Linked DNA regions of Ovis aries. The protein of the gene in region 3 interacts with the protein of the main gene of each other region in a pairwise test. Links are inferred from orthologs where the notes say so. Each region holds a gene or a part of one and is shown on either strand. Other genes may lie near its edges.

Evidence for each region.
Region 1: the proteins of phospholipid scramblase 2 (region 3) and ESR2 interact in binary tests that used the Homo sapiens proteins (3 or more experiments, as listed by UniProt). The link is inferred for Ovis aries from reciprocal best matches to the Homo sapiens genes PLSCR1 and ESR2.
Region 2: the proteins of phospholipid scramblase 2 (region 3) and EWSR1 interact in binary tests that used the Homo sapiens proteins (3 or more experiments, as listed by UniProt). The two-hybrid records come from large-scale screens. The link is inferred for Ovis aries from reciprocal best matches to the Homo sapiens genes PLSCR1 and EWSR1.
Region 4: the proteins of phospholipid scramblase 2 (region 3) and RGS3 interact in binary tests that used the Homo sapiens proteins (3 or more experiments, as listed by UniProt). The two-hybrid records come from large-scale screens. The link is inferred for Ovis aries from reciprocal best matches to the Homo sapiens genes PLSCR1 and RGS3.
Region 5: the proteins of phospholipid scramblase 2 (region 3) and GLRX3 interact in binary tests that used the Homo sapiens proteins (3 or more experiments, as listed by UniProt). The two-hybrid records come from large-scale screens. The link is inferred for Ovis aries from reciprocal best matches to the Homo sapiens genes PLSCR1 and GLRX3.
Region 6: the proteins of phospholipid scramblase 2 (region 3) and MVP interact in a two-hybrid assay, tested with the Homo sapiens proteins (2 studies listed by BioGRID and IntAct). The link is inferred for Ovis aries from reciprocal best matches to the Homo sapiens genes PLSCR1 and MVP.
Region 7: the proteins of phospholipid scramblase 2 (region 3) and CCER1 interact in a two-hybrid assay, tested with the Homo sapiens proteins (2 studies listed by BioGRID and IntAct). The two-hybrid records come from large-scale screens. The link is inferred for Ovis aries from reciprocal best matches to the Homo sapiens genes PLSCR1 and CCER1.

The regions. Positions count from the first base shown.
Region 1 is NC_056060.1:74,529,640-74,534,365, forward strand, and holds the start of ESR2 (estrogen receptor beta), read right to left. Parts: upstream 2,871-4,726; coding exon 2,518-2,870; intron 945-2,517; coding exon 772-944; intron 1-771.
Region 2 is NC_056070.1:68,562,277-68,566,979, reverse strand, and holds the start of EWSR1 (RNA-binding protein EWS), read right to left. Parts: upstream 2,879-4,703; 5' UTR 2,824-2,878; coding exon 2,811-2,823; intron 2,222-2,810; exon of another isoform or gene 2,127-2,221; intron 1-2,126. UniProt on the Homo sapiens protein: Binds to ssRNA containing the consensus sequence 5'-AGGUAA-3'. Might normally function as a transcriptional repressor. EWS-fusion-proteins (EFPS) may play a role in the tumorigenic process.
Region 3 is NC_056054.1:242,587,124-242,591,150, reverse strand, and holds part of phospholipid scramblase 2, read right to left. Parts: intron 3,605-4,027; coding exon 3,562-3,604; intron 991-3,561; coding exon 770-990; intron 1-769. UniProt on the Homo sapiens protein: Catalyzes calcium-induced ATP-independent rapid bidirectional and non-specific movement of phospholipids (lipid scrambling or lipid flip-flop) between the inner and outer leaflet of the plasma membrane resulting in collapse of the phospholipid asymmetry which leads to phosphatidylserine externalization on the cell surface.
Region 4 is NC_056055.1:10,225,384-10,229,410, reverse strand, and holds part of RGS3 (regulator of G-protein signaling 3), read left to right. Parts: coding exon 1-68; intron 69-806; coding exon 807-912; intron 913-2,353; coding exon 2,354-2,705; intron 2,706-3,604; coding exon 3,605-3,644; intron 3,645-4,027. UniProt on the Homo sapiens protein: Down-regulates signaling from heterotrimeric G-proteins by increasing the GTPase activity of the alpha subunits, thereby driving them into their inactive GDP-bound form.
Region 5 is NC_056075.1:48,898,796-48,903,395, reverse strand, and holds the start of GLRX3 (glutaredoxin-3), read right to left. Parts: upstream 2,997-4,600; 5' UTR 2,981-2,996; coding exon 2,892-2,980; exon of another isoform or gene 1,728-2,891; intron 1-1,727. UniProt on the Homo sapiens protein: Together with BOLA2, acts as a cytosolic iron-sulfur (Fe-S) cluster assembly factor that facilitates [2Fe-2S] cluster insertion into a subset of cytosolic proteins.
Region 6 is NC_056077.1:26,923,356-26,927,382, forward strand, and holds part of MVP (major vault protein), read right to left. Parts: intron 3,873-4,027; coding exon 3,749-3,872; intron 3,637-3,748; coding exon 3,505-3,636; intron 2,238-3,504; coding exon 2,143-2,237; intron 1,899-2,142; coding exon 1,662-1,898; intron 1-1,661. UniProt on the Homo sapiens protein: Required for normal vault structure. Vaults are multi-subunit structures that may act as scaffolds for proteins involved in signal transduction. Vaults may also play a role in nucleo-cytoplasmic transport.
Region 7 is NC_056056.1:127,369,308-127,372,956, forward strand, and holds CCER1 (coiled-coil domain-containing glutamate-rich protein 1), read right to left. Parts: upstream 2,043-3,649; coding exon 831-2,042; 3' UTR 767-830; downstream 1-766. UniProt on the Homo sapiens protein: Regulator of histone epigenetic modifications and chromatin compaction into the sperm head, required for histone-to-protamine (HTP) transition.

The DNA.
Region 1 (4,726 bases), on a different chromosome or scaffold from region 3:
CTTAACCGGTTAAGAACAAGGCTTTGGCAGAAAAGGGAAGGGAGCTCTGAGATGGGAACACAGGACACTGCCTGGAAGGAGGGCTGACAAGGGAGGAGTTATGGGGGTAGAGAGACAGCTAAGAGCACAGGAAAGCAAGAAAGTGCCTGCAGCAATTAGGCCTGGCAAGGAAACGTGTGGCAAGGGGCTGACTGGCCTTGAAACCAGGTGCGTACAATTTGAAATTGATTAAAGAGATGATTTAACAAAATCACAGAAACAAAAAGCCAGCCTAGCAGAAATTTGGAGAAGGAAAGGGAAACAGTCTAAACTCAGACCAGAAAATAGGAATGTAAAGGAGGTTCCACTAGTTGAGCTACTGACTGCATAAAACATATTCTCTCTTCCTCAGGAGCCAGCCCACCATCTCAACTGTTACATATGCTAGATATTAAACATAAGTCAAAGGAAGAAACAATCTTCACAGTTCCTAATGGGCACACATTTTTTCCAGCCTTCACAAAGGTTATGTTTCCTCCTAGGAAGACGGCAACAGGTGATGGTGGTGCAAGATCCATTTGGGTTTGGGGGTAGAGATCTGAGTGAAAGATAAAGTACTCTATACTTGAAACAATCCCCCCACCCCCAAAGACACATGATCCTCTGAAACAGTCACCAAGTACTCTGTGTACCAAGCAGGCCAAACAAAGGTAAAATTTCTGCCAGGTCATCCGCAACATTGTTTAAAAGCAAAGTGGAAAACAAAAAAAGCAGCTAACAACATTCTTGTACCTTGAATGCTTCTTTTAAAAAAGGCCTTACATCCTTCACATGACCAGACTCCATAGTGATATCCCGACGCATAATCGCTGCAGACAGCACAGAAGTGGGCATCCCTCTTTGAACTCGGACTAGAAACAGGGCTGGCACAACTGCTCCCACTAGCTTTCCTTTTCAATGTCTCCCTAGGGGCAAAGAGAACATTCACTGTAAAAGAACATTGACGGTAAAACAAGGCCTTTCTAGAAAAAGGAACAGCATGAACATTGCCTCGTGTATCTCTTTGCCCTCCAGGCTTCATAACAAATATATTCCAAGAGATCTGATCAAGCAAAACCTTTGTTACTGATATCAGATCTATTAAGAGTCGCTCTGTTGGGATCGCTGGTGTCTGAAAGTGGATAGGTGAGTTTACACCCATCCACACAGTGTGGATGAACACCGATTACCATGGAGAACTAGCTATAGCCATCAATGTGTACATCTCTGTAATCAGTGACTACATCAAGTCTGGGTGGGAGCAGTAGCGAAAAGGGGAAAGCGAAGGAGAAGAGAAGAGGAGAGGGGGAGAGCATAAACACATGCCTGTCCCTTGAGAAGGCTCTGAAGAAAGCAGGTGTTCAATGCAGGGTGGAGAGGCTTACCACAGAGGAAGGGGGAACCCACAGTGGGCCACCGGCAGACACCAAGAACACACCGGGCTAGTTCCTAATTTTGCTACAGCATGTTTCCTTTGGAAAGGACATGGCAGAGGTATGATTGATGTATAAATTTAATATGCTGAGGTTTAATGTACCCAAATATTAGCAGAGCTCTGATTAGAACTTGTCCTCAGAAATAAGATATTTCTTCCTTTAAAAGTTGAATGTGAAGACATTACTTTTAAAAAGTCATCTACATTTTTCATATTCTCTTTTACCAATCAAAAAGTTCTTTAAAAAAGAAGAAAAATAAAATTAGTGTGTAATATGGCTTTCTCAAAGTTTTATGAATTTGAAAGTAATAAACTTCAATACCAAATATGCCATAACTTAGTACTTGGGTTCTTGTGTAAAGTTATGCCCCCTCATGCTTCTGCCTATACTAACTCTGCCCTCTGTAGCCATGATTATCATTAAAACTATCCGAGTTCAATCCCTGGTTGGGGAAGTAAGATCCCACAGCCACATAGCACAAAATATATACGTGTGTGTACGTATAACAAATTGAATGCAAATAATCCCTGATGTTACCTTGCACTTAGAGTTTCAGAATGTTCAACTAAAGTCCACATTAGTTTCCTGTCAATCTTTATAAAATGTTATTTAGTTCACTGTTTAAAAATTTGTACCACTGTTTGTCTTTTCACCTGTCTAGCATTTCATCGAGTTGTAATACCAATGGTTACTTTTATCTTGGACATAATTTGTCATGAACACTAAGTTGTGATTTCACTTCAAGATAGGAAGGCTCTAACTTGAAAATAAAAATTCCTTTTTCAAACTCAAATCACTTCATCAAGAAGAAAGTGATTTAAATTAAATATTTTCCAAAGATAGTCATGAAGTGAATTCTCCCCCACAACACAGATCTAAAAGCTCAACTTTTTAGTAAGGACTAGAATATCAGAATAGATATCCTAGAATTCAGAACATCAGATGTTCTAGGTGCTCTATGTGATAATGAAGACCTTGTATAACACATATCTTTCTTCTCACTAAGTCATAAAGCAATCTGAATATCGGCCATAATATAATTCAGAATGAAGACTGGATTTACCTGTTCACAGGGAAGGTGTGTTCTAATGATCTGGTTTCACACCAAGGACTCTTTTGAGGTTCTGCATACAGAAGTGACGACTGGCAATGGATGGCTAAAGGAGAGAGGTGTCCAGGAGTTGGCCACAATACATTTGGGCTTGTGGTCTGTCGACCAGGCCCATCTTCTGAGTTATTGGGAATACTGTAATTCATCACAGCAGGGCTATAGAATGTCACGGCTGAGTATTCATGGCGGCTCTCTACATAGGAAGAGGGTAAATATATGGGGCCTGGCTCCAGGGGTAGAATGGATTGACCGCAGTTATAGGAGACAGGAGAGTTAAGGCTAGATGGTGAGTTTTTGACATCCATGTCTTGAGTAGGTAACAGCTAGGAAAACCCCTTGTGAGAAGCACAAAAGAACATTATAATGTTCTCAGAGTCATGGACAGGTATGGCTGTAAAGAAAAAAGAAAAGACATTTCTAAGTTACAGGTACAAGCATACTGTGAAAAAGGTTGACACATTTTTATTACACACACACACTTATATGGACCCAGAAATACATCCTGAAAAATATACACACAACCTCAGAGGGGTAGGAATAAAAGGCATGGAATTCATTCTCTCCCTTCATTCACTTCCATAAAGCTTTTGTTGTTAACTATAAGAATTTTCTACCATGAGAATTTAATATAAAATACTTTTAAAAATTAAAAAACACAGGGAGTTCCCTGCTAGCCTAGTGGTTATGACTTTGGGCTCTCAGTGCTGTGGCCTGGGTTCAATCTCTGGAGAAAAAACAAACAAACTTAAAAAATATACGATTAAGTAAAAATGCCAACCAGTTTTTTTCCCCCTAGAAGTAGATAAATTCATTTTTAAATTCTTACAGAAAAATTTTAAAAACCTACCTCAAAGGGTAGATCAGTAAGCATGACTAGCATTAACAGATCTTCAAATATATCATGAATAGCCAATGATAAAAAAAAGGAATACATAGGCCAATGCACCTGTCAAGGATCAATTTATTGCCTCTCACCTTCTAATGCACTCTTCAATATATGTAGTGTATGTTCTATGGAAATAGAATTCCTTTAAGCATTTAAACTGAGCCCAGTGCTAAGCTTTCTCAGTAGAGGGCGCTGCAGGGACTGCAGGAGGAAGAGGCCGCTGTGATTTCTGGCAGGGGCAGAGGCTGACATGGTGGGTGAGAACAGCCAGTGGAGCCTGTGCGACCAGAACGAGATCCCACTGCAAACATGCAGCCCTGGCATGGCAAGAACCTTTCTGCAATGACCTATTCAGACTACGGCCTGAGGAGTTAGAGAATTTGTCCCTTGTGCAAGCTTCATCACCAGCACCTGCATGCTCTGAAGGCCTTCCGCTCTGGCAGGCAACTGGATTTCCAGGGCATGCCCACACCACCAAATGCTGACTGCCTGCTCCCCACCTGCAACTCCAGACCACTTTTGTCTGGGAAAACCAGTGGACATTTTAGTGGCCAAACTATCTTTTCCAAGGAGGTCTGAACACCCCCACCCCGCCGGTTTGTCCTTCCTTGGGTACTCTACCTCGGCTCTTGGGTGCTTTATAGAGTTTCTTACATCTTACACTTAATCTCCCATCACAGTTGGGAATTCTTATAGTAGACTTCTCCTGTTGAACTTATTGTGTAGTTTCTTTCCTGACTGGAGAGAAACACACTGCTATGCAACAGAATAGAAAATCCCCAAACAGCAAATTTAAAAGTCAAAAGTTTTTGGAAATTTGTCATATGATAAAGGTGATGTCTCAAATCGCTACAAAAACATTGAACACAGAATAATCATTGGAAAAAGACATGTCCGCCAGAATAAACTCCAAATGTTAAGACAGAATTGGAAAGAAAGGAGAGGGAGGAGGAAGGGAGAGAGGGTAAGACAGGAATGGGGGAGGAGGAAGGGGCTGCACAGGTGCTAGAAGAGAACACAGATAAATCCCTTTATAATACGGGTGTAGGGGAAACCTTAACTATGACTCAAAATCCAGATGCAGTTAAAAGATGTGCATGCTGCTGCTGCTGCTGCTAAGTCACGTCAGTCATGTCCAACTCTGTGCGACCCCATAGATGGCAGCCCAACAGGCTCCTCTGTCCCTGGGATTCTCCAGGCAAGACATAAACTCATGAAAGCAAATATCTGCAGATCATAAACACAGCATAAGTCAGTGCTCACTTTGGCAGCATA
Region 2 (4,703 bases), on a different chromosome or scaffold from region 3:
AGAACCCTGAATCATCAACATTATCAAATCAACCACCAAAGGCTATGTATAATGAGTAAATCGATTTGTTCAAGACAATCTCAGCTCTGTATGTGACATATAAAAATTCAAATCACCTCTTTCACGTTTTAGTTAAAAAATAAACATACCAATGAAACACCAAAAATCAAATATTTCAACCTACATTGTACTGAGGCTTGTGTGTGAGGAATGGTTCCATATCACTGACATGTAAGTTCAATGTTTGCAGGAGAACTTTTACACAACAACAGTTATGTAAAACATACAACTGGCAAAGCTGATGAGGAACAACGAATGATCTCACATCAATGGGAAACCAGCTGATTTATTTAGCCCCACACTGTTGGGCTAGGGGAGGTAGTAAATGTGCTTCACGAGAACTTTTATCTTCCTACAGCGTAAAAACCTTTATATGGCCTCAAAAATCTATAGTTACACACTGGTCAGATTATTTAGCAGTTATTTTTTGTTATAACTCCCAAACATGTAGCTGAAGACTACAATAAAACACAGGACAAGTTGAGGAGAAAGGGGGCTATGGGTGGGGGCCTCCAGAGTGCTCTGCCAAGTCGCTTCAGTCGTGTTAGACTCTGCGCCCCTTTGGACTGTAGCCCACCAGGCTCCTCTGTCCATGGGATTCTCCAGCCAAGATTACTGCAGTGGGTTGCCACGTTCTCCTCTTGGGGATATTCCCAACCCAGAGTGCTAGCAATATTCTATTTCTTGGTCTGCACGGTGGTTACTTGGAAGTTTCTTTGCTAAAGTGGACATATACTTTAGGTACTTTTCTAAATATGCCAAATAAGGAGGAAGAAAAGCTAAGAATATTGCCCAATGTGGTGGCTTTTAGAAACTTCAGGCAGTCACGATTGGAACTGTTGAGAGTTAGAGCTTCAGACTACATCATAAGTTAAAGAAAGTCACTTCAGGACAACGCCGTGAGAGCTGTAACATCAGAAACTAAGGGTTCAAAAAGCTCTTCAAACGTCTAGCCTAAGCCGGTCATCTTGAAGGACAGGACACTGAAGCCCAGATAAGTTAAGGAGTCCCTCAAAGGACCCCCGTCAGACCTGCTGCATGTCTACATAAACCACAACTGCAATTCTAATACAGTACGCAGCGGTCACCAGGCCACAGAGCTGGAGCGAAGGAGAACGAAAAACTGGCATGTCCACACACACACACACACTTAAATACACACACGTGTACTCCCCAAACTTTCACGGCGAAGGGAGAGCAGCACTCCCCCTTGCAAAATCCTAACACTGCAGGGAAGAGGGAGGAGGAAAGGGCTCTGAGGAAACCATTCCCCACCGGAAGGTGTCTTGGACTGTGGTTGTTTCAGAGTCCTTTCCTCCAGGGGCACTCTGTACCCTGGCACTAACAGCCAGCATCTACCACCTGCTTGTGTACAGACCACAAAGCTGTCTTGCCCTTGCTTGATTCTGGACCCTTTTCGGATTAAAACTCGGAAGGACCCAAAGCTTTTCCCATCTTCCCTCTCCTCTAACTGCCTCCAAGGCCTGGAGTCAGGCTGCCTAAGGAGAACCCCAGAGGCAAAAATCTCCCCACCCGATCCACAACCGCAGTTAGTGCACGGACTGCAAACTGCAGCTCCGTTTAGGCTACTCTCTCACACACCCCGGGGCGGTAAGGACCACCCCACACACCAAATTCCAGATCCCACCCCAGGCTTTCTTTCAAAGTCCAGTCCGCGCCTCCTTCCGCTCTCTTCTGTCAGACCACGAAATAAACTAGCCTCTCTCGGCTTAACCTAAGCGAATAAACGTACGAGACGATTACTTAAGCATAATTCAAACGCCGACCGAGGCCTTTTGTTTCTCCTAAATCAAAAAGGCCAAGAAATGTCTTTCGGTGGTGGATTCCTGGCCTTGCGAACAGGGTTGGCCTCATTATACAACAGGCCTCCCTCCGCGTTTGATGAAAAATGGCCCTGGGAAGCCGCCTAATTGCTTTTTGTGGCGGAAAGAAGGACTAATAATGGTTTAAAAAAACAACTTTAAGCAGCAGCTGACTGGGTAGTTGTAAAGCGGAGCGTGGGGCGGGGGCGCTCCGTTTAAAGCCCAGTCGGGCAGAAGTTCGGCGTGGGGGCTGGAACCCGCCGAGGGGAGCAATTCGGCAGCCCTGGACGACGTGCCAGCCGACCCGGCTCTAAGGACGACGGGGCTCCGGCTCACAGGTCGGCGCCCCTCGGCTCACAAGTCCGCGAAGCCTTTTTTTGTTTATTTGCTCTCCCCCCCTCACCCCGGGCTTCCCGGAGAGGCAGCGTCGGCCTTGGGCCCAGGCTGCGGGCCTGGAAATGGAGTTGTGGTGAGGACAGTCAGAAAGACGCGGGCCTGCCGCTCCTCGAGCCGCCGCCCGCCCCACCTCCAGTTTCGGGGTGCCGGGCCCGAGGCCTGGCCGAACTCTCCCCCCCACCCCACGCGGGGCCCCGAAGCCTCAGGCCCCGCCCACGTGGCGAGCGGCCCGGATCTCGGGGCCCGACCGCCGCCACACAATGGAGGCCAAGGCAGGCCCCGCGCGCCCCCGCCGCCTCCAGCCCCCCGCGCGCCGGGGGCGCCGGAAGGTTCCAGAGCCGGCCTGCCCGGTGGGGGGAGGGGAAGGAGCGGAGGGAGACGCCGGCCATCGAGCTTCTCGGACCGCGGCGGGTACCTCACACCCTTCTCGGGAAAGCCCACTCAGTCGTCCCTGCCATCCCCAAGGACGAGCGGCCCCCAATCTGGGCGTCCCTGCCGTCGCCGGCGCGACCGCAGTCCCACCACACTCACCCGTGGACGCCATTTTCTCTCCTTCCTTCTCGTTCTCTCAACGTCCGTCTCCCTCTCGCTGGTCCTCTAGACGCCGCACTGCGCAGGCGCGGGACCCGCAACCTCAGGCGCTACCATCGGGCCCCCGCCACGGGGGAGGGGGACGGCGGAATGAGCCGCCGCTTCCCGTCCTTCGCGCCCGCCTCTCTAGTCCTAATTCTCTCTAAAGAGCCCCGGATGTGATGAGCGGCCCGAAAAACACCGCGGGGGCGGGCGCGGCGGGTGAGCGGATCTCGGTGACGAGCCGGAGTGATTCTTTGGTCGACGCCGGGTCGTTTGGGGAATGGTTACGCCCGCTGGTTCTAGGGACCGTCTCTGAAGAGACTACCTTGGAGGAAAACGGGGGCCGGCGGGAACACTAGGGGGAAGGGACCCGGGCCTTAAACAACTGCTGACTAATCGGCGGGCGGCGGAGGAGGGGGTGGCGTGCCGACCGGTCGGCCGGGGTCACGCGCCGGAGGGCGAGCAGAATGGGCTCGAGGCGCTCGGGCCTCGGCGGGAAGCTAGGGTACCGACTGCCAGCCGAGGGCCCCACTCGGCCTTCGGGGGGCGGGGGGCGCGCTCCGCAGTGAGTACCCCGGACACGTGGCCCGGCCCGCGGGGGAGGGAGCCGAGACCGGTGGGCTGTGGATGGGAGGCCCTGAACGTAGCGCCCAGGCCGAGAGGCCCGCCCCCCCCCCCGCCGAGTAACGGTCGAGGTTGCGAAGACTCTTTTAATCAGCCCTCATCCAACACTCTTTGTTTTTACAGAAGGGGAAACTGAGGCCCAAGGAATTTGGGTACATCTCCTAAAGTCACAAAGCTGAGTCTCACCCACACCCGGGACCCCCGCCCAACTGTCCATGACCCGGAAGAATCATTCCGGTCCCTATCTTTCCATTCTGTCCTTCCGGTTTCCTGGAGAGGTAGGCGGGGTCTGAGGGTGCACAGCTCCATTTTATAGATAAAGAGATTGAGCTCTGCAGCATTCAGGTCCCAGTTCAGTTTGTCCAAGGGCAAGCCTCTTACTCTTGTTAAAGTACCCCGGGGGGAGGGGGGTGATGGTGAGGGTGCAGGAGGATAGCAGTGCCGCAAGGCTGACACCAGCCTGACTTCTTGGACTCAACCCGATCTCCCCAGCCAGATGCCCAGGTCCAGCAAAGGGCAGGGCTCATTCAAATCCTTGAGCGGGACCTGGAACAAAGCTAGTGTCTTTCTTTTCAACGAACACATACAAAGCACGAGTTGTGTGCTAGGAGCACCCTGAGAACTTGGCCGTGAGTGAGAGGAGGATCCCTCCTCCCCCAGCTCAGACCACCTGCCTAGAAAACTGGCCAAGCGCTACTCATTAGATAGGGTAGGCTCCATAATGATGGGGGCGAGGGGTGCTTTGAGCTGGGCTTCAAAGGATGAGTAGGAGTTTGCTGTTGGAGAGATGGAGCGAAAGACATTGCAGGCGGAGCCGTTTTCTTTATTTTTTTCTGCAAGAGAGTGGCCGGTGGGTTTTGATGCCAAGGATGCCCCTGACAAGGGAGCAGATGAGGCAGCCCTCTTATCGCTGGGATTTCCCTTCCTCTCCTGTGACATTGGCTCAGTTGGAGTCCTGAGACATGCTAGGGTACCAGAGTGAGGGGATTCCAGCAGGGCTTAGAAGACACGCTGGATGTGAGGAGGGAGAACACTGGAGAGAAAGCCTTGCTTCGTGGGCAGGGGATTGGCACGATTGAGGGCAGCTGGGCTGGAGCAACTGCTTCCGTGTTGAGGCCTCTCCCTTGGTGGAGACGGCCAGGGTGGCTGCCATTTATCCAGCAGGAGCTGTGGGCCTGCCTAGTCCATTCCTTTTTCTTATCCTACAAGGAGTAAATTTTCTTAATC
Region 3 (4,027 bases):
ATTTCCTACTCCAGGGCATCTTCCCAACCTAGGGACTGAACCTGCATCTCTTGGGTCTCTTCCACTGGTAGGCAGATTCTTTACCACTAAGCCACCTGTGCTAAGTCGTTTCAGTTGTGTCAGACTCTTTGTGACTCTGTGGACTGCAGCCCACCAGGTTCCTCTCTCCACGGGATTCTCCAGGCAAGAATACTGGTGTGGGTTGCTATGCTCTCCCTTCAGGGTATCTTCCGAATTCAGGGACCAAACCTATGTCACTTACATCTACCTCCATTGGCAGGAGGGTTCTTTACGGCTAGTGTTACCTGGGAAGCCCTCCTTAGCTCCCTGTAGGTTGGCTAAAATTATGAGATGAACATATGTATTCTTTTTCTCACTCTTCTGTCCACTTGCTACTGGGATGGCATTTGAGGATATTCCCTATGGGGCCCTCATCTGGCTTTGGTCAAGCGCTCATGGTCATTTCAGGTAAGGTCCTTGAACCAGGCACCCTACATTCTCAGCTCTCCCTGAAGACCAAGAAGTCTGGTCTCTGAGATCTCTGATCTCACCCCAGAGGACACACTGCTCAGGAATGTTGGCCAAACTGATCACTCCTTTCCACCTGCCTGCCTTCCTACAATTTACTCTCAAGGATAAACTAATAGCTGGTGAACCACTTCACCTTTAAATCTCATTTTATTATATAAATTCACTGATAAGGTAAAAATTCCTACAGAACTACTTTGCAAAGTATTTGTAAAAATTACCGTGTTAATCGCTCACCCACCTCTTGCAGGCAGCAGGGAAAACAGCAGCTGGCACACCGTAGTGGTCTTTCCAGAGTTATGACTTCTCGACCCATATTATCAAGAATCTTCATGGTAAAAGGCCTAGCAGGCCCACAGCAATTTCGAGTGCAACAATCAGTATCCTCTGCTGCAAAGTAAATCCTCTGTCCAAGGCTGTTCTTAATTTCATATCTGTTATTAGTTTCAAAACCTATTAGGACTAAAAATATAAAAAGAGGGACTCATTATGTCTACAGCATTAAAAGAATAATCAGTCTATCCTAAGATGCTATAGTGTCTAGCTGTACCATTTTTAGATGGTACTTCATTTAACACAGGAGGAAGAAAAGGAAAGGTGTTTAGAAATGATCTAAATATAGAAAAAAAGTGGAGGGGATGGAGGAGAGGGTATTAGCGTACAGAGAAATTTGGAATTTCTATATGAGACACAAGGGCTTCTTGTGTCTCTGTGCCACACAGGCGGCACAGAGGTAAAGTGCCTACCAATGCAGGAGAGGCAAGAGATGGGGGTTCAATCCCTGGGTCAGGAAGATCACCTAGAGCAGGAAATGGCACCCTACTGCAGTATGCTTGCTGGGAAAATCCCATAGACAGAGGAATCCCACTCTTCCCATCCCTGGGGTTGCAAAGAGTGGCACACAACTGAGCAACTGAGCACACACGCACATTCTTGTCCACAGCCCTCATTAACACGAGTCATAGGGTATTAGAAGTCATCAAAATATTGAGCAATGAAAAAACAGAGGGACAAAAATCAGTCTTTAATATTGGTGTGGATGGATTTAGATAAAAATGTTCTTCACAAGTTTCATCACCATGACCTCCCTTAGGTGTCTTTGCTATGACTTAGGCAGACCCTGACTCTGCCTTTAAAAGAGCCACCCTTTACCTCAATATCCACCTGTCAAATATTTTATGTAAAAAAAGTTAAAGTAATCATGAAATGGGATCTATTACCTAAGTGCTTCTTAAGTAAACTAATCTCAAAATTCTTCAGCTTGTTTATCTGTAAAGTGAGATAAGTGAGCTTACACAATCTGTTTCTTTCTAGTTACTTAAAAAATGAAAACAAATAAAAGAATTCTATGGTTTTGTCTTTATTATCTCTTAAGTTTTGAACTGGGACACGTCTCAGGTGCTAAAAAATAAACTGAGTAATCTTTTCTCTATACTATTTATAATGTTAAAATATAAACTTGCAATTTAAGACAAAAATAAGAAAATTAGATATCCTTTGTAAAAACTGAAGAATTTATAATTATTAAATTTGAAATTTACTTTGTATTTCATGACTAATACATATATATTTTTTTAATATATGCAAAACTTATAAATCTGAAAACTATAAATGGAGTGCTATATAATGTACAGTGTCTGATTTTTTGGTTTTTATAATATCAAAAATAAACTCTAAAATGAATCATTAAAAAAAACTGGAAATTCAAATTACCATACTCCTTTCCAGAGAAAATATAGTATAAACAAACTAATAAAAATGAGAACATGATGAGACTCCCTGGTGGTCCAGTGGTTAAGACTACACTTCCAATTCAAAGGGTGTGGGTTTGATCCCTGGTTGGGTAACTTAGATCCCCCTTGCTGAGAGGCGTGACCAGACAATAAATAAATAAATAAATAAATAAAACTCCCCACAGAGAATTCCCTGGTGCTCTAGTTGTTAGGACTTCATGCTCTAACTGCCGAGTGGGTGGGTTCAATCCCTGGTCAGGGAACTGAGATCACACAAGCTGGGCAGCAGGACTGTGCCCCCCTCCCACCCCAAAAAAGAGGACATTAAATTTCTAACAGTGAACATCACAAGTAATTTAAGTAGAATAAGCAATTATATATTCTAACCAAATATTAACCATATTACTATAGTAGTACAATTCACTTTATTATTCCTATCAGTGGTAAAGAACTTTGCAGAGATGTGAAGAAAGATTTAATAGATATATTCTAAAATCTATTAGAGTTTTCACTGAATTGTCTATAAGGAAAATACATTGGTTCATGAATTTACCCAGGTTCTCTTTCCCTGGCAGCAGTCCTAAAACATCTACTGGCTTTCTTAAGTTTACTTTGCACCTGAGGAGCCCTGGACCAAAGGAAACAACTGTAGGAGTCAGGCCCCACTGATAGGAACAGCAGTGATATTCTAGGAAGTCAGGTGTTTTGGCTGACTGGTCAGCCTCCTTCAGTGAAGTGGCCCTGTGCCCAAGGTGATAATTCATAGCCCGTGGAACAAAGGTTTTATAGGGTTCATCTGAACTCCCAAGAAAAACCATGGACAATAATGAGGTTTTCCAAAACATCCCCATCCACCCAAATTCAGAGTTCATTTACTTTGGAAATGTAGTAAGGTAACTGAACTACTGCTTGTGACTCTTTGACAATCTCAAGCTCATCACAAACTGGGGAAAAAAAAGTTGAAGAGATAGAGGTTAGGGTGGGTTAGTGATAGAATCACTGAAGTGATTTCTAGAGAGAAGACTGAACAAAAGTAAGTTTTGATTGGTTTCCTCCCAAGTCATGGTCTGTATCATGAGGACAGATGTCCAGCTTAATGGTATTTTAGCACTTGACTATTAATTTCAAAAACTGAGCTGCTGATAATCCTTATCAGGATTATCATTATCACAGAGACATTTTTAAAGCCAGGTTTAATTTCAACATCCCTGAAGGTGTTATATCTGTGTTTCATGATACGCTTTTATCTGCATAAATGTCCTCTCTTCCTAGAAATATGATAAATACAATGAATACATACCTTCCAGAAGTTCCATTTGCTGATGAATCAATAGCTGATCTATCTATTATAGTAAAAAAAAAAAGAGCTGTAACCATGTTATTAAGCCAAACAAATTAACATCAGTGTTTGTATGTTTTAAAAGAATGTATATAATCAGTTATCAACATTTATTAATAGTTAATAACTGTTTGTATCACTTCTAGGTATAAAATTAAAGTTAGTATATTCTTAACAACTACTGAAACGTGTTTATTTTTAATGTGGGCAAATTCAAGTCAAGCAAAATTGACTTACACTGGAATCCGTATAAAATTAGAAAAAAATGTTCCTTCCAGAAAGGGCCTAAGAAATATTAAGACCTTTTCATCCATTTAAAGAGCTTTTTACTACAAATAAAAACATTTTTCAAGTGTGCTTAATATCATTTATAGTAGGTGATGACTTCCCCAAATATATTGTAAGGGCTTAATTTTTCTTAAAAAAT
Region 4 (4,027 bases), on a different chromosome or scaffold from region 3:
GGGGAAGGACGGCTTTGGCTTCACCATCTGCTGTGACTCTCCGGTCCGAGTCCAGGCCGTGGATTCCGGTGAGTGAGCATCTTGGGTGATGGCAGCCCCATGCTTAGCAAACAAGATGTTGGAACTGAAAGGGAAACCCCAACCCGGATTGAAGAGTCCTGGCCTTTCAAAATGAAAAGAATAATATTTTTAAATGACCATAGATGAAAGTGAGGTCTATGAAAATACACCTACTCTTTTTTTGTTTTGTTTTTAATCAAAGTGAAGATAGGCTTTTATATTTTGTTTCCCAGTCATTTCAAACAGGAACTAAACCTATATTTTCAGCAATGGCTGCATGGGAAAATAAGAATCGTTTATGAACTTGATTTGGAATCAGTATTTTATCCTAGTCCAGCCTGATGAGCCCTTTAAAATAGTCATTTCCTCTCTACTTTTCACAAAGAAAAGACTTCTCCTAGTCACAGAGTGAGCATCCTAAGAGGAGAAGCTGGGACGTGGCGATCTGGGGGCCTGGCAGCAAGGAAGGGTTCTTGAAGGGTGAGAGTTCCTGGGGAGGGAGGGGGCCTGGTGGTGAGGTTGGCAGCAGAGAGATCAGCCAGTACTGGGTCTGCGGGCAGGGAGGAAAGGAAGGCAAAGGGGAACCTCCTTCAAGATCCTTCCTGAGCACCTCCAAGGTCAGGCCCTCATGCACAGATGAAGAAACAGAGGGGAGCGGTCCTTGTCCAAGGTCACTGTGGAGGCAAAGGACCCCCAGGCCCTCTGAGGGGGTTGTGGGCTCCAAGGAGTTTTATTTGTCCCTGCAGGGGGCCCAGCTGAGCAGGCAGGGCTGCAGCAGCTGGACACGGTACTGCGGCTGAACGAGAGGCCCGTGGAGCACTGGAAATGCGTGGAGCTGGCTCACGAGATCCGGTGACCGGCGCGGCGGGCGGCCTGGGGCTTGGGGCTGCCTCGCACCTCCCCTCCCCTCCCCAGCCCTGGGCACACGCCTGGCCTGTCCCTCCTTCACATCTGCGAGCCATTTGCTTTGCTCCTCAGGAAATCAGTTACTTGGCCTGAAACTGGAAGGTTCAGGCTCCGAGCAAATTTGAATCCCAGAGCAAACAGTGGGAGAAGAAGCTCTCAGACACACCCTGTGGTTCATGGCGTGGCTCCAGGGGGTCGCTTTCTCCTTGAGCTCATTAGTTCTGCTACCTCAGAGCTAAGCCTTCTGTTTTCTAGGCTGGGTAGATGTTGCAGAGTGTTTTCAGTTGTATAACTAAACAGTTATTCTTTAAAATGTATCCTGGTACATAGTGGTACATAGTGGTACATAGTGGTACATAGTGTTAGTGGGTCAGTCGTGTCTGACTCTGTGCGACCGCATGGACTGTAGCCTGCCAGTCCATGGGATTCTCCATGCAAGAATACTAGAATTCAGGCAACCCATTGCAGGCAGAGTCTTTACCTTCTGACACCAGGGAAGACTTAAAATGTATGAAGTGAAGTGAAGTGAAATGAAGTCGCTCAGTCGTGTCCGACTCTTTGCGACCCTGTAGACTGTAGCCCACCAGGCTCCTCTGTCCATGGGATTTTCCAGGGTTGCCATTTCCTTCTCCAGGGGATCTTCCCAACCCAGGGCTCGAACCCGGGTCTCCCGCATTGTAGACAGACGCTTTACCGTCTGAGCCACCAGGGAAGTCCCTAAATGTATGGGACCCCTCAATTTTGACCCTCTGAGTTACAGCCCCATTTTAGGTTTGCTTCTAGAATGACTGGGTGAGGGGTTTACACAGGTGGCTTGCTTGCTTGTACTTTGTGTTCAGGAGGAACCTCACTAGTTGAATCTGGTCTTCTTTCTTTATTACCAATGCCCTTCCCAGCCCTTGCCAGTCAACTCGAATTGACCTCAGGGACCCCTTTGCTGTCTCTGCTTTAGCTGGCCTCTGCATCCTTTCCTGTTCTAGCACCGGGGGCTGCCCCTGTCCCCTTCCACTCTCTTCCTTTCTGCCCCCGCAGGCCCCTACCCTGCCTGACTTTGGTCTCCCCCAGACCCAACTTCCAGAGAAGGAAATGGCAACACACTCCAGTATTTTTGCCTGGAGAATCCTGTGGGCAGAGGAGCCTGGTGGGCTGCTGTCAATGGGGTCGCACAGAGTTGGTCATGACTGAAGCGACTCAGCATGCACGCATGCATTGGAGAAGGAAATGGCAACCCACTCCAGTGTTCTTGCCTGGAGAATCCCAGGGATGGAGGAGCCTGGTGGGCTGCCATCTATGGGGTCGCACAGAGTTGGACACGACTGAAGCAACTTAGCAGCAGCAGCAGCAGACTCAACGTCTCTTTGTGATCCCCTCTCCCCGCCACTTCCAGGAGCTGCCCCAGCGAGATCGTCCTGCTTGTATGGCGCATGGTCCCCCAGGTCAAGCCAGGGCCAGATGGAGGGGTCCTGCGACGGGCCTCCTGCAAGTCGACCCTCGACCTCCTGTCACCCCCCAATAAGCGGGAGAAGAACTGTACCCACGGGGCCCAGGCCCGGCCGGAGCAGCGCCACAGCTGCCACCTGGTGTGTGACAGCTCGGATGGGCTGCTGCTCGGCGGCTGGGAGCGCTACACCGAGCTGACCAAGCGTGGGAGCCAGCACACCCTGCCCGCGCTGTCCCGCGCCACGGCCCCCACTGACCCCAACTACATCATCCTGGCCCCACTGAACCCTGGGAGCCAGGTATGGACCGCCATTCCGGGAAGGTGAAGGGCTGGGGTCCCTGAGTGAAGCCGGGAAGAGGCAAAGACTCAGCTGTGTTGGGAGGAGCCTCCCAGGGGCTCGGCATAGGGAGCAGGGATGTGGGGTAAGCGGTCACTCCAAAGGGCCGTCCTGTCAAGCTGTCCTGGGCAGAGGGAGCAGCTGGATCTTTGTGGTCTCAAGGTATAGATTCAGGACCAGGGGATGTCATGGGGTGGAAGATTTCACCTCAAAAGAAGGAAGCAGCGCCTTCTGCCAGACGGCGCTTTTCCATAGCAGAATGGGCCACGTGGTGGGCGGTGAGCGAGCGCCTGTCGAAGGAACTTCAAGATGGTGAGGTGGGGTGATGGTGTGTGTGTATCCCAAGACACGGTTCCCCTGAGATACTCTGGGTAAAATGTGTCCTGAGGTCAAGTAAGCTTGAGAAACACCTCCTGCTCTCTTCCTCTTGGAGCAGATTCCCAGTGCGTGTTCACCTGCTTGAGGCTCTGAGGGCACCTGCAGCGAAGAAGGTGGTTCACCCTTGTTCGCCCGAGTGGTTCCCAAACTCCCCTGATGGTGTCCCCCTTTGTAGCAGAGTTGTTAGGTCCCTAGGGCCAGTGTTCCACAGCACATGCTTTGGAACAAGTTGCCATCAAGGAAATGGGGATCCAGCCAAGGAGTTAAACTCGATGACAGCTAAAGCCTCACTATACTCCAACATTCTGGAGGATTCTAGAGCCTGTGTTCCCTACAAGCCCCCTCTTGGTTTCTTAGCAGGATGGCAGTCTTGCCCTCATGCCCTGAGGGGCTTCCCTGCTATCCCCAGGCCAGGGCTGAGCAGCCTGCCTGGTTGTCTGCCCCGTGGCTGGGCTGAGGGGTTTTCTGTCTTTCCTTTGCAGCTGCTGCGGCCTGTGTACCAGGAGGACGCCATCCCCGAAGGTGAGTCTGTCCTCTGCTGCCCTGCCCTCCGAGCCCCAGAGAGATGGTGAGGTCAGCTGCCTCCTCCTCTGGCTGGGAGGCCTTCCCAACAGAGTCAGGACCCACCCCCCCAGCAGACTGACACAGACTGTCTCCTCTTGGGACCTCTCCTCCCTCACTGAGCCACTGTCTTTCTTCCTTGGATCCTGAACTGAGAAGGAAGCGAGGGCATCTTTTCAGAGCAGCCTAGAAGACGGTATTCAGAACTCAGGCACTCAGCTGAGATTCACCCAACGTTGTCTGTGCGTGTGCTTGGTCGCTTCAGTCCGACTCTTTGCGACCCCATAGACTGCAGCTCACCAGGCTCCTCTGTCCGTGGGATTCTGTGGGCAAGAATACTGGAG
Region 5 (4,600 bases), on a different chromosome or scaffold from region 3:
CGTGCAGCTGGACTACTTTACCACTTCTTACCAAAATGAAAAATGATTTTTAAAATCAAAATATTCAATGATTAAAAGGATAAAGTGAGACAACACTTTTATATCCCACTGGTAAAAGTTCAGTTGGAAACTTTCAGAAATTTCTTGTACCACTTTCAAGGATCCATCCTACAGCAATCATTAAAGAGACAAAGATGTATGTATATGACTACTTCCCCAGTATTTTACACAGCAAATAACTGTAAAAATCTATTATTCAACAACATAGTTTTCTTAACAGTCATAAAATATTATAAAGTCATTAAAAGTCATATCTCAAAGAACATTTAATAACGTGGGAAAATACAAAGAGTACATTTTTTAAAAATTAAAATAGGTTACAAAACTTTTTAACAGTAAGTGTCAACGTAAGGAAAAAGAAAAAGTACACATATACAGGTTAAATTCCATCATTACTAATGTGGCTTTGAAGAGTAATTTAACTTCCACATCTGTGAAACAGCAATAATACCCTGAGAGGTTGGGAAGACCAAACAAAAATATGTAAGCCCCTTAAAAACGTTAAAGAATGGCATTAATGTTCTTTTAAATTATCCACATTTTTCTCATTTTTAGATGCTTAGCTTCTACTTTCCAATTAAGTGAACACCCAAGATCACGAGGATATAAGCCTGAAACACACACAGACGCTGCCACCCGCTCCGGATGGCCCACTGCTCTCTCCATTGTCATGGACAGCTCAAGGCACAGGGTGCACTGTTAAAGGAAAAACCTTCACAGAAGATGAGGTTCAAATCCTAAGTGCTGCTGCTAAGTCGCTTCAGTCGTGTCCGACTCTGTGCGACTCCATAGACGGCAGAATCCCCCGTCCCTGGCATTCTCCAGGCAAGAACACTGGAGTGGGTTGCCATTTCCTTCTCCAATGCATGAAAGTGAAAAGTGAAAGGGAAGTCACTCAGTCCTGTGGACTCTTAGCGACCCCATGGACCGCAGCCCACCAGGCTCCTCCCTTCATGGGAGTTTTCAGGCAAGAGTACTGGAGTGGCGTGCCACTGCCTTCTCAAATCCTAACTCCTGTGCTTTTAAACAATATGATGAACCTCGGTTCTTTGTCAGTAAAACAGTTAGTGGCCAGTAAATTGCTGTCTCTGTTCCTTCAGATGTTCTGCTCCTGAAGTTATTCCTGTGCAGATAACACTGACTACCACGTATTAAAATCGTGTAGTATTAGACTATATTAGTTAAACATTTTACAAATGGGCAAAACCTTAATTACTCTGCAAATGGGTATTAATATTCCCACTGTACAGACTAACGGGTTTCAGTAACATATAAACATGTGATGACTTAGGCAAAAAACATTTTCAATTCACATGAAATTTTAAAATTGAGAAGCGATGATCTGTCAAACAGACGCTAAATGGCATTAACAAGTACTACTTCATGTTCTGAAATGCTGCCATTTCCACCAAAAGGAGCAGAGATCTGTTCCTTCCCCAGATGCCAAGCACCATTTCCCACGTGCCCATCTAAAGGAATCATTTCAGTGTTAATACCTTTTGGATGCGTTCTTGCCACTGCTCTGTACCTGGGTCATTTCACCTACAGGCCAGTGGCAAGAACGCATCCAAACGGTATTAACACTGAAATTTTAACCGACTGTGACGTCTTAAGGACTTTAACGTTTAAAAAAAAATGAAACATAGACTCAAAAACGCCAAACACACCAACAGCAAAATAGTCTTCATCCTCATCGGGAGAGGGTGACCACGGTTCTGTTTGCTTCGGGTTTCTGTCCTCATGACGTCAGGCGCTGTTTACTTAAGATGGGTAAACTGAGCGTTTATTAAGGACAGATCCACACAAGCCCGGCTCCTTCCAAAGGCCGCCTCCGGGCCGCATCCCTTTTCATCAATGAGTCAACGTCATTCCCCACGCACCCGCCTCCCGGGGACCACCTCTTTCACCAATTTTCCAAGTGAACCTGAAACGCCGAAGGAGCTGTTCTGATGAACACTTCTCGGCACCGCGGCGAGGAAGACAGGGACTCTCCCCTCTCACCCGCACCCCCACTCCCCCGCCCTCGCCCCCTGCCACGCTCCCAAGGAGCTCCCCAGCTGCCTCCAACTCAAACTCGGGGCCGCATTCAGGTCCACACGCCCCACCGCCCTGAGCTCCGCGCAGGCTCTCTGCCCCCGGAGCCTCCGAGAGCGCTCCCGCCCGCCGGCCACGCGCCGCCCACGGCCCTGACCCCTCTCACCGCAGGGGACACGGAGGCCTGGGCAGGGCGCGAGCGCAGGGGAGGCCCAGCGCTGGCAGGCGGCTGAGCGCGGGGCGGGTGCCCGGGCGAGGGCTCGACTTAGCCGAGGCGGAGAGACCGCCCGGAGGCCCCGCGCGCCCGCCGGCGCCGACCCGCAGGCTGGGGGGCGGGGGACGGCGTTTCCGGGTACCCGCCAAACGGGCCCACCGCAGCCCGCGGGTCTCCTTCCGACGCCTGCCCCCGGGGCGACAGGCAGGCGGGCCAAACCAGAACCCACGGCGCGCTCGGCCCGGCCACGAGCGCCCTCAGACGCCAACTGCCGGCCCCGCTCGGCCTCCCTGCAGCGTCCGCCCGGGACGACGCGGCGAGGGGCCGGGGTCTCCGCGCCCACCCTCGGCCCGGTGCTGGGTCCCCGCGTCCCCGCTCCCCGGGACCGCGGGCCTGGCGCCGCGGGGCGCCCGGAGCCTCGAGCCCCGGGTCTGCGGTGGACCCGCTCCCGCACCGGGGCGGGGACCCGGGCTCGGGGGCCGGGCCGCCCAGGCTGGGCCGCGCGCGAGGGAGCCAGGCAGTGCGCCCGTGAGGCCGGCTCCCGCCGCGTCCCCTCGCCCCTGCCGCCCGCCGCCTCGCTTACTTGGCTCTGAGGCGCAGCAGTTCCTCAAACTGCCCAGCTGAGCCGACCTCCACCACCGCCGCCGCTGCCTCAGCCGCCCCCGCCGCCATGCTGCCGCCGCCAGACAAGAGCAATCGAGCGCGGGCGGCCGATGGGGGCGGAGCGCGGGCGGTGGCGCAGGAAGCCCCGCCCCCGGCCGTCCCGGCGGCGCCGCCCCCTACCCCGCCCCGCCCCCCAGGGCCGAGTGCCAGCCCAGAGCCGGTTGAACATCCTGGGGCTGCTGCGTCCGGCCGGCCAATTAGGACCCTGGCCGCCCGGGCTCTGGACTCTCAGGAATCCTGACCTCCTGAGCTCCTGAAGTCAGGGCTTCCTGCGATCCTAGAAGCTCCTAAAGCAGCTGGGAGAAGGGTGTACGCGTGTGTTTGTGTGTGTGTGTGAGACGTGAGTGTGTATTTGAGTGAGTGAAGGCGCTCAGTCGTGTCCGACTCTGCGATCCAATGGACTGCAGCCCGCCAGGTTCCTCTGTCCATGGGATTCTCCATGGCAAGAATACTGGAGTGGGTTGCCATTTCCTTCTCCAGGGTATCTTCCCTACCTGGGTCTCCCACACTGCAGGCAGACTCTCTACCATCTGAGCCACCAGGGAAGCGTGTATTTAACAAGCTGAAATTTTAATCCAAAAGGTAGGGATGGAAGAATGGGAGATCAGGGGAAGGGAGGTTGCGCCCTCCCCGAACCTCAACGCTGACAAGGAGTTTCGAATTCGGCCCTGAAGAACCCGAAGCCACGTCAGCACATGGCCCACCATCACCCACTGTGAGATCAGGCCCGGCTCCGCGCCCCGCGCCCCTCTAACCTCAGGCCTCCCCCGGATCCCCTCGGCACCTCCTGATGCTGACGCTCCAGGCAGTGTCTCCTCCCACCTTTCCACCACTGCACTCCTCTCCAGCCTGCGTGACCTTGTCCATGGTCCCGGCACCCTCCATCGCCAGGGAAACCTCCCGCAGAGCGCCCTCCCCTGCCTCCGGTGCCCATGGCTGGGGGAGGGCCGGGGGTGGGGCGGGGGTGGTCTCTTTAAGGTTCCCCCCGGACCAGCCCCGGCCTTGTCTCCAAAGCGCCCCTCCTCCTGGATCCTAGGTTCACTACCGCCATTGCTTCCACCCAGACACGTGGGGCTCCTCCTGGGCTCATCTGGCTCTGTACCGGGTTGGAGGACAGGCCCCGCGGAGCCGCCCTCAGGTGTTCAGGGCTCCTGCGCGCCTTGGACTGCGGGCACACCTCACCGTGTTAGAAGCGTCTGTGGTCTCGCATCAAGGGCGGGAGCTGTGTCTCCATCCCAGAGCCTGAATGAGAGCCCGGCACGTCGTAGGTGCTATGAACCATGTTCTCTACTTGGGGCCGGGGGGAGAGGGGGGGGCGAAGTGGACTTACCGAGTTTCAGAGACTCATTATCAAAAGAAGTTCATGCAGGGTATCCAGTGAATAACCTTTACAGTGATTGCATGTCGAAATATACTGGGTTGTGTGAAATATATTATTAAAATTAGATTTACTTCTTTCTACCCTTTAAATGGGGTTTCCCTAGTAGCTCAGTTGGTAAAGAATCTGCCTGCAATGCAGGAGACCCAGGTTCGATCCCTGGATTGGGAAGGTCCCCATGGCAACCCACTCCAATACTCTGGGGAATTCCATGGACAGAGGACCTGGTAGGCTACAGTCCATACAATCGC
Region 6 (4,027 bases), on a different chromosome or scaffold from region 3:
GTCACCTCCCAGGACTGTGGAGCCCTCTGATGGTTCCTCCCTCAGCCCTGGGTGATCATGGGCTTCTGCTGAGGACAGAAGCCCCAGCAGCCCCCTGCCCAAGTTCCTACCCACCTCCCCTTCATACAGAAAATCATTTATTTAGACTGAGACTCTTCACAAATGCCTGTAGATGTGGTCAAACCTGCCCTGGAAAGATTCTGTGAAGTGTCAAGGTCTGGGTTCTCACAAGCTCAATAGTTAAGAATTAACCTATTATTGCCTTATTTCTCTCACACTTTATTCCCTTAGGGTGGTATAGTACAGAGTTTCCGATCTCTGACCTTTGGACCAAATCTGGCCTGCTATTTTTTAATACAATATAAATATATATTTGAGATAAAACCCACATATTATAAAACATATGCCCATGTGCTAAGTCTCTTCAGTCATGGCTGACTCTGCAACTGTATGGACTGTAGCCTGCCAGGCTCCTTTGTCCATGGAATTCTCTAGGCAAGAATATTGGAGTGGGTTGCCATGCCCTTCTCCACGGGATCTTCCCAGCCCAGGGACTGAACCCATTTCTCCTACATCTCCTGCACTGACAGGTGGATTCTTTACCACTAGTGCCACCTGGGAAGCCCATATTATAAAATACAGATATTTAAAGTATACAATTCAGTTGCGTTGGTATATCCAGAGTTGCCCAACAACACGACTCCCTGATCCCGGAACATTATCATCCTGAAAAGAAACCCTGGATCCAGTAGTAGTTACTGCCTATCCCCACCCCAACCACTATACGTGGGTCTACCTACTTGGGACATTTCATATAAATGGAAATCATACAATAAGTGGTCTTTTTATGCCTGGCTTCTGTTGCCTAGTATAATGCTTTCAAGTTTATCCATGTTGTAGGACATATTAGAACCTCAGTTTTGATTTTTACCTTTTTGAATTCTCTCAAGAACACGAATGTCCGCCACCCCAGAAAGATTATCTTATCCTTTTGATTGACATGCCACTGAATGGATATACCATATTTTTCAGTTATGCATCAACTGATGGATATTTGAATTGTTTCTATTCTTTCTGCCTGTTTTTGCAAATAAAATGTTACAGGAACACAGCAGCACTGGTTCACTTACAAGATGTCTACGCCACACAATATTGTAAAGCAACTATCCTCTGATAAAAAAAAGACAATCTACACTGCTTTCATGGCACAACAGCAAAACTGAGCACAACAGAGACCATGCCCCTCACAAAGCCCCAAATATCTGTGACTGTCATAGGAGAGGCCAGCCCAGCTCTGGTAGTCCCACATAGTTCAGAGAAGGGCTGAGGCAGAGGATGGGGAGAAGGGTAAACCAAGAGATTTGTCTGACGCAGGATGACAAAGCTTCCAGAAGAGAGAGACGTGAAATATGAGAGAGAGTTTCTGGGTCTGCGTTCACCAGGGTCAGGGAGGCGCTCCCAGGAAAGACTGTGGGTAACCTGAGGTCAGGGATTGCCAGGAAGATCAGTGACACTGTATTCTCAAGAGAGAGACAAGTGTGCACAGAGGGAGCCGAAACCAGCTTGATGTTTCTAGAATGTCTACCTGGGGTGGGAGGAGGGAAGGGACAAGGGTCCAGGGCCTCAGGCCATTCCCCTCTGGGTGAGGGGCAGGCACTTACCTTGAACACAAGCTTTTGCCCCAGCTGGTTCTTGCCGTCTGGTCCGACTGGGTCGAGAATCACACAGTAGTTGTGGGGGCCCAAGGTGGTGACGGACACAACCCCCATCACCTCCTCGTAGACATCTGGCACGTGGGCCTCCGTGTCCTGCACAGTCACCAGCCACTCCTCCCCAGTGCGGCGGCTCACCCCTCTCACGTCTCGGAAGTTCTGCCGAGCTCGAAGGTGCAGGGCTGTCTGGAGAGCAAGATGTCAAGGGGTAGGGGGGTTTCAGTAAACCTAACTCCGACTAACTTCCTTGGGGGATCTGGGAACCCCACTGGTCACCAAATGCTCCAGGTCTGAGTCACTGTCTACCAACCCAGGAGGATTTCTTAAACCCTTTCCAGTGACCCAGGATACTCCTCAGGTGATCTTATTTTCTCCCACAGTTCTTTGCCCCTCCGAGAATCTCCCACCCAGGGTCCCCCAGAATACAGACCTTTTCCGTAAGGATCACAGCATCCACCACATCCAGAACCTCCTCAAACACTGCTGGGAGATACGCACCCACGGAGCGGACCAGCCATTCCTCTCCTGGGCCGGGGAGGAGAGGCAAAGGTCAAAAGTCACCCAGCCTGCTCCCCAGCTGCCCCTTCCCGCAGCCTAGATAAAGAGTACCTGCAGGGCTTCACACGCCACTTTGAGGTCATTGCTCCCAGGCTCAAGGGCCTGACAGAGTCCTTTTCCTTTTTTGAGGCCAGAGGAAAAGCAACCCCTACCTCAGAGAGATTAAAAAAAAAAAAAAGGGCCTTCCAAGCATCCAAATTGTTGCTATGGGAGTACCCTGTAGGCCTTCTCTAAGCTCCAGAGATCAGCCTTTTTTTCTTCCCCTAAAACGGGCAGAAGGGCTTCCCTGGTGGCTCAGAGAGTAAAGAATCCACCTGCAATTCAGGAGACCCAGGTTCCATCCCTGGATCAGGAAGGTCCCCAGGAGAAGGGAATGGCTACCTACTCCAGTGTTCTTGCCTAGAGTATTCCATGGACAGAGGAGCCTGGCAGGCTACAGTCCAAGGGGTTACAAAGAGTCGGGCACAACTGGGCGACAAACACAAAATGGGCAGAACTGCCACATTACAGCTTAGAGGTCGTTCAGCCTACTGGAGAAGCAAGAGTGCTAGGCACAAGTTCCAGCCTGGCTCTTTCTGGCCATAAACCCAGGCCTCAGTTTCATCATCTGGAAAACGGGAGCTGTGGTGCCTCAGGGTTGCAGGAAGACCTAAGGGAATTGCGGTCTGTAAAACATTTGAACCACACCTGGCTCAGTAAGCATAGCCTTTGTTAAGACTTTGTTTAACACAACAGGTCTGTCAAACAATTGCTAGTTGCATATAGACACAGGAAGTCTCAATGGCTCAAGAGGTAAAGAATCTGCCTGCAGTGCTGGAGACCTGGGTTCAATCCCTGGGTCGGGCAGATCCCCTGGAGGAGGAAATGGCAACCCACTCCAGTATTCTTGCCTGGAACAATCCCACGGACTGAGGTGCCTGTCGGGCTACAGTCCGTGGGGTCGCAAAGAGTCAGGACTGAGCACGCACAGGCACAGCAACAATATAAACACCTGCTTTGTTGGTCTAGAGACAGACCCAGCTCACGACAGAGTCGGAGGAAGGGAAAGCCATGTCAACAGGATCCGGGCCAGGTTAGTGGGGGAAGTAGCATGTGGCAGCCCCCAACAGCTGACAAGAGATACCAGGGAAGCACTTCCTCCAGGCTACAGGTGGCCAGCCCCCAACCTCCCCCACTTACCCCCGCAGTCAAGGATCAGCCCGCCCTTAGCCCTGTGAACACTTCAAGACTCCACCTGTCACCCGCTCCTTGCCATCCCTGTCTAAGCATTCCTTGCGAGCCCTCAGCCTCAGGGCCTGGTTCTGCTTGATGACCGTGGCCTGAATGATCTCGATGACTTCCACCTCCTTCTGGGGGATATATGTGCCTGGGAAGGGAAGATGGGGGAGGTGGGGTTTGAAGGTCAGAAGATATCAGGGCCCTAATGAGAAGGCAGGAAGCCTCTGACCCCAAACCCGGCTGGACAGGAAAACACTCACCAGGTCCTTCAAATAGCCACTCATCCCCTGCTACTACCTTCTGTCCGTTCTTATCCTCAAAATCCAGCAGCGCCTTAAGATGGAGGGCAGTGTTGGGTAGAACCACCTGCAGCGGGGTGATGTCCTAACAGGGGAAGCAGGGAGGAGTCATGGGTACTCAGAGCTGTGACCCCTGGAGGCCAACTGGGACCCTCAAGGTCAGAGTCCACAGCATCAATCTCTCCACATCCCCAAAGACGACTCCAAGTGGAATATACAAGATAGCGGTAGTCCCAGAGC
Region 7 (3,649 bases), on a different chromosome or scaffold from region 3:
TCTGCAAAGTCTATTTTTATTATTCCTGTGAACTTATGACAAGGAATATATCCAGGAACAAGGCTTCAAAATCTATGTTCCATTGTTTGCAGTTACCTTAGATTTTAACTAGGTGTGCAAGTTGACTTCTGACCATGGGGAATCCTCTCCATGCATGGATTTATGGATTGCTGAGGCCATGGCAGATAACCAGTTCCACAGAAGCAACTTCATGTTCTTCTGAGGAAGATCCATAGCACTGTGGAACAAGGAATATAAATGAGCGATGCCACAAGAGACTGCAAACTGGGTTACCAAAATACAGCCCTCAAAAATGAACTCTGAAGGTGGAAAATCTATAAGAAAAAAAATATTAAAATAGGCATTTTTAAATGGTTTCAGCTATCATGTTAAAAGTACTGACGAACATTTAATAAACATGGCACATGCTTCTTAGGCATCTAACAGTCAAAATAACTGTTCATTCCAAGCTCATTAAGTAGAGATGATGTATAAAGTTGTTATAAAAGGAAACATTTTCAGCATTGCCAGAATTAAAAAACAAAAAACCTCAAATATCTAGAGGAGAAAACACCAAATGAAAATATTCAAACTGTAGTAATAAAATTTTTGGCCTTTAATCATTTCCAGTTAAATTATATTTGAAAGCTCTACCTCCCCCCACCCATAGTCATACACACACACACACACCAATTTTTAAACGTTTTATAACAGCCAAAGATGATAGGTTTATTAATGGAACTCACTTTTTCATTAGTTTTTGACAAGTGGCTAATTCATTTTAGCCTCCAATCAGTTCCATCGCATTTCTCAATCCCTTTCCTGATGTCTCAACAGTTAATGTCCTGCACCATGAAGAGCGCTTCCTGTGCCACTTTGGGAATTCTCTGTTTGGGGCTTAAACACGTACAGTTCATAAAGTTCTCTCTCTCTTCTTCAGCCCCCACTAGGAATGATAAAGGCATTTCCAGGGGCAAATGATTCTCTTCCTCCATCTGCTCATCCTCCACCAGCCCCTCTTCTTCCTCTGCGGTCTCCTCCGCTTCATTCTCCTCGTCTTCCTCCTCCCCCTCCTCCATATAATCAGCCTCTTCGCCCTCCTCCTCATCTTTGGCCTCTGACTCTTCGTCCTCCTCCTGGCTCTCCAACTCCTTGCCATCACACTCCTCCTCGTCACACCACTCCTCCCCCTCTTCTCTCTCCCCTTCCTCTTCCTCCATCAGCTGTGAGGTGGCCGGCTGCTTTTCTTCGTCTGGGTCAGGACTGAAGACGAGAGAGGGATTCTCCACAAAGCTGTACAGAGTATCTTGCAGCGCCCCGTCTTCCTGGCCACCGCTAGGGGGCGCGTCGTTTCCGAAGGCGCCCTCCGGGGAGGCTGTGCCCCCCGCCTGGGCCTGCTGCGCCCGCAGCGCCTCCTGCTGGCGCTCTAGCTTCTCCTGCTGCCGCATGTCCTCGTAGATCTGGTTCATGATGAACTGCGTGGTGTTGCGCGGCGCCCGCATGCCGGGGGCGCGCCACCCGTACAGGTTGACCGGCCGCAGCAGCGTGCTCAGATCCACCGGAGGGCTCCTCCGGGCGGAGCGGCGAGGGTGACGGCGCAGGCCGCGGCCCCGGCGACCCCAGCGCTTCTTTCTGCCCGGGGGCCTCGCCCAGCCGGGGTTCCAGGGCCCGTGGCAGCAAGAGCAGCAGCAAATGCAGAGCGGGTGCAGGCCGCACACCCGGATCACCTGCACCCGGCCCGGGGGCTTCCTGAATCCCGCCGGCGGTGGGCACCAGGGCCCTCTCCAGCGCCCCCAGCTAGAATACACGGCCCAGTAGGGACGCCGGGGTGGTTGGAACCAAGGGCCTGGACCGTACTGCTGCTTCGGCTGGTTCCTCGGGGGCTCGTATTCGGCCTTGGGGCCGTAGCGAGGCCGCCGCCTGTAAATGGGAGCGCCCCTGCGCCTTCGGGGGCCGGACGACCAGGTGCGTAACGGGGCAGAGGATGCCCAGCCGCCGCCCAGGTTAAGAGGATCCTCTTTTGTGTCGAGGGTCTGGGTCATGGTTCAGGGTGCTCCGAGAGGTCGACACGGTAGCGCCCTAGAAGCTGTCGTCGCGTTTGGACAGATCTGATGGTCTCAAGCGCCTCGTTTCTCTCTCTGCCCAGCACCACGTGCCCGCCGCTGGGATCTCGCCTTTGTCTCCAGAAGGATCCCCGCCTCTCTGTTCGCTCAGTCGCTCTCCGCCTAATCTCTGATCCTTCGCACCCGAGTTGTCTCGCCCAGGCGGGTTGGGTGGGAGTGGGGCTGGGTAAGGATGGTGGGTGAGGAAGGTGTTGGTGGGCAACGCGCGGTGACACCCGCTCCTGGGTCCCACTCACACCCGCCTCAGTGGATGCGCGGGCTGGGGCCGGGGGGAGGCAGGGGTCGCGCCGTTACCTTCCTGCTCCCTCTCAACCCAGGTGCTTCACCGTCGCCGTCCGGGCCGGACTGGGGTGGCGTGGGCCGCAGCAGCCTTTAAATACCGGCCAGGGGCCCCGCGTGCCCACCGCATCCTTGGTTGCCCCGGGAGACAGCCAATTGGGGTTGAGGTCGTTCTCCCAGGGCGTGGAGGTGGGGTTCCGGCCGGAACAGGTGCCCAGTGAACATTCGCAGGGGGCTTGTGACGTAGTTTTTGCGGGAGGGAGGGCGGAGGCTGGGTTTGTGCAGCCCACGTTAGGAACCGCCTGAGGCCATTTCTTTGCCCCCTTCGACCACCTTGAGGTGCTGGGTTAGAGAAGACGGACCTTCAGCTGAACCCAGAGTTGGGGATTGGGGAGAAACTTGTCTGTTGAAAAACAATATCCTACGCCTTTGGGGTGATGGAAGGGATAAAGAGAAAGCCCCCGGAGTCGGAAACAGGGCACCACGCCTTACTTTGTGGCCACTGCTCTAACTCCTGGAGCTCTGTTTCATCATGCATAAAACAAGATGGCAAACGTTTATTGTGTGTGCTTTCTGTGCAGGCGGGCTCGTGGCACACGAGCCTCACACCTGCTCTGTGAGGTAGGCATTGTTACCACTTTTCGTAGGTTAGGCAGCTAAGACGTTAATTTACCCGAGCTTGTGAAGTCAGTGAACTTAAGGGCTAGTGTTTAAACATGTTTGACCTCAGAGCCCAGATTCTTAGTGAGGTAACTGCAGTGCCCAAACACCTTAAACAGGACTGTGACGAAAAGAACAGGGAATCTGTATGGTCAAGCACTGTACTAATTGTCGTATATCGTGTAAATGCGCTTTGATTAAACATTACCAGGATGTTTACCGTGAGTTTGTTTGTAAGAATGCTACTGTGCCAATTGTTTTTCCTTTTGCCCTTTTGTTAACGAGGCAGCATGGTACCTTGGGAGCCTCTGTAACATTATAGTTAAGAATATGGGCTTCGGTTTAAATAGACAAAAGCCTACCCTGAATGATTCCCTTCAGTCCTGTCAGACTCTTTCCGACCCCATGGACCATAGCCTGCCAGTCTCCTCTGTCCATGGAGTTCTCCAGGCAAGAATACTGGAGTAGGTTGCTATGCTCTCCTCCAGAGTATCTTCCCAACTGAGGGGACAGAACCTGTGTCTCCTGCGTCCTCTGTTGGCAGGTGGACTCTTTACCACTGGGGCCATCTGGGAAGTCTAGGTTTA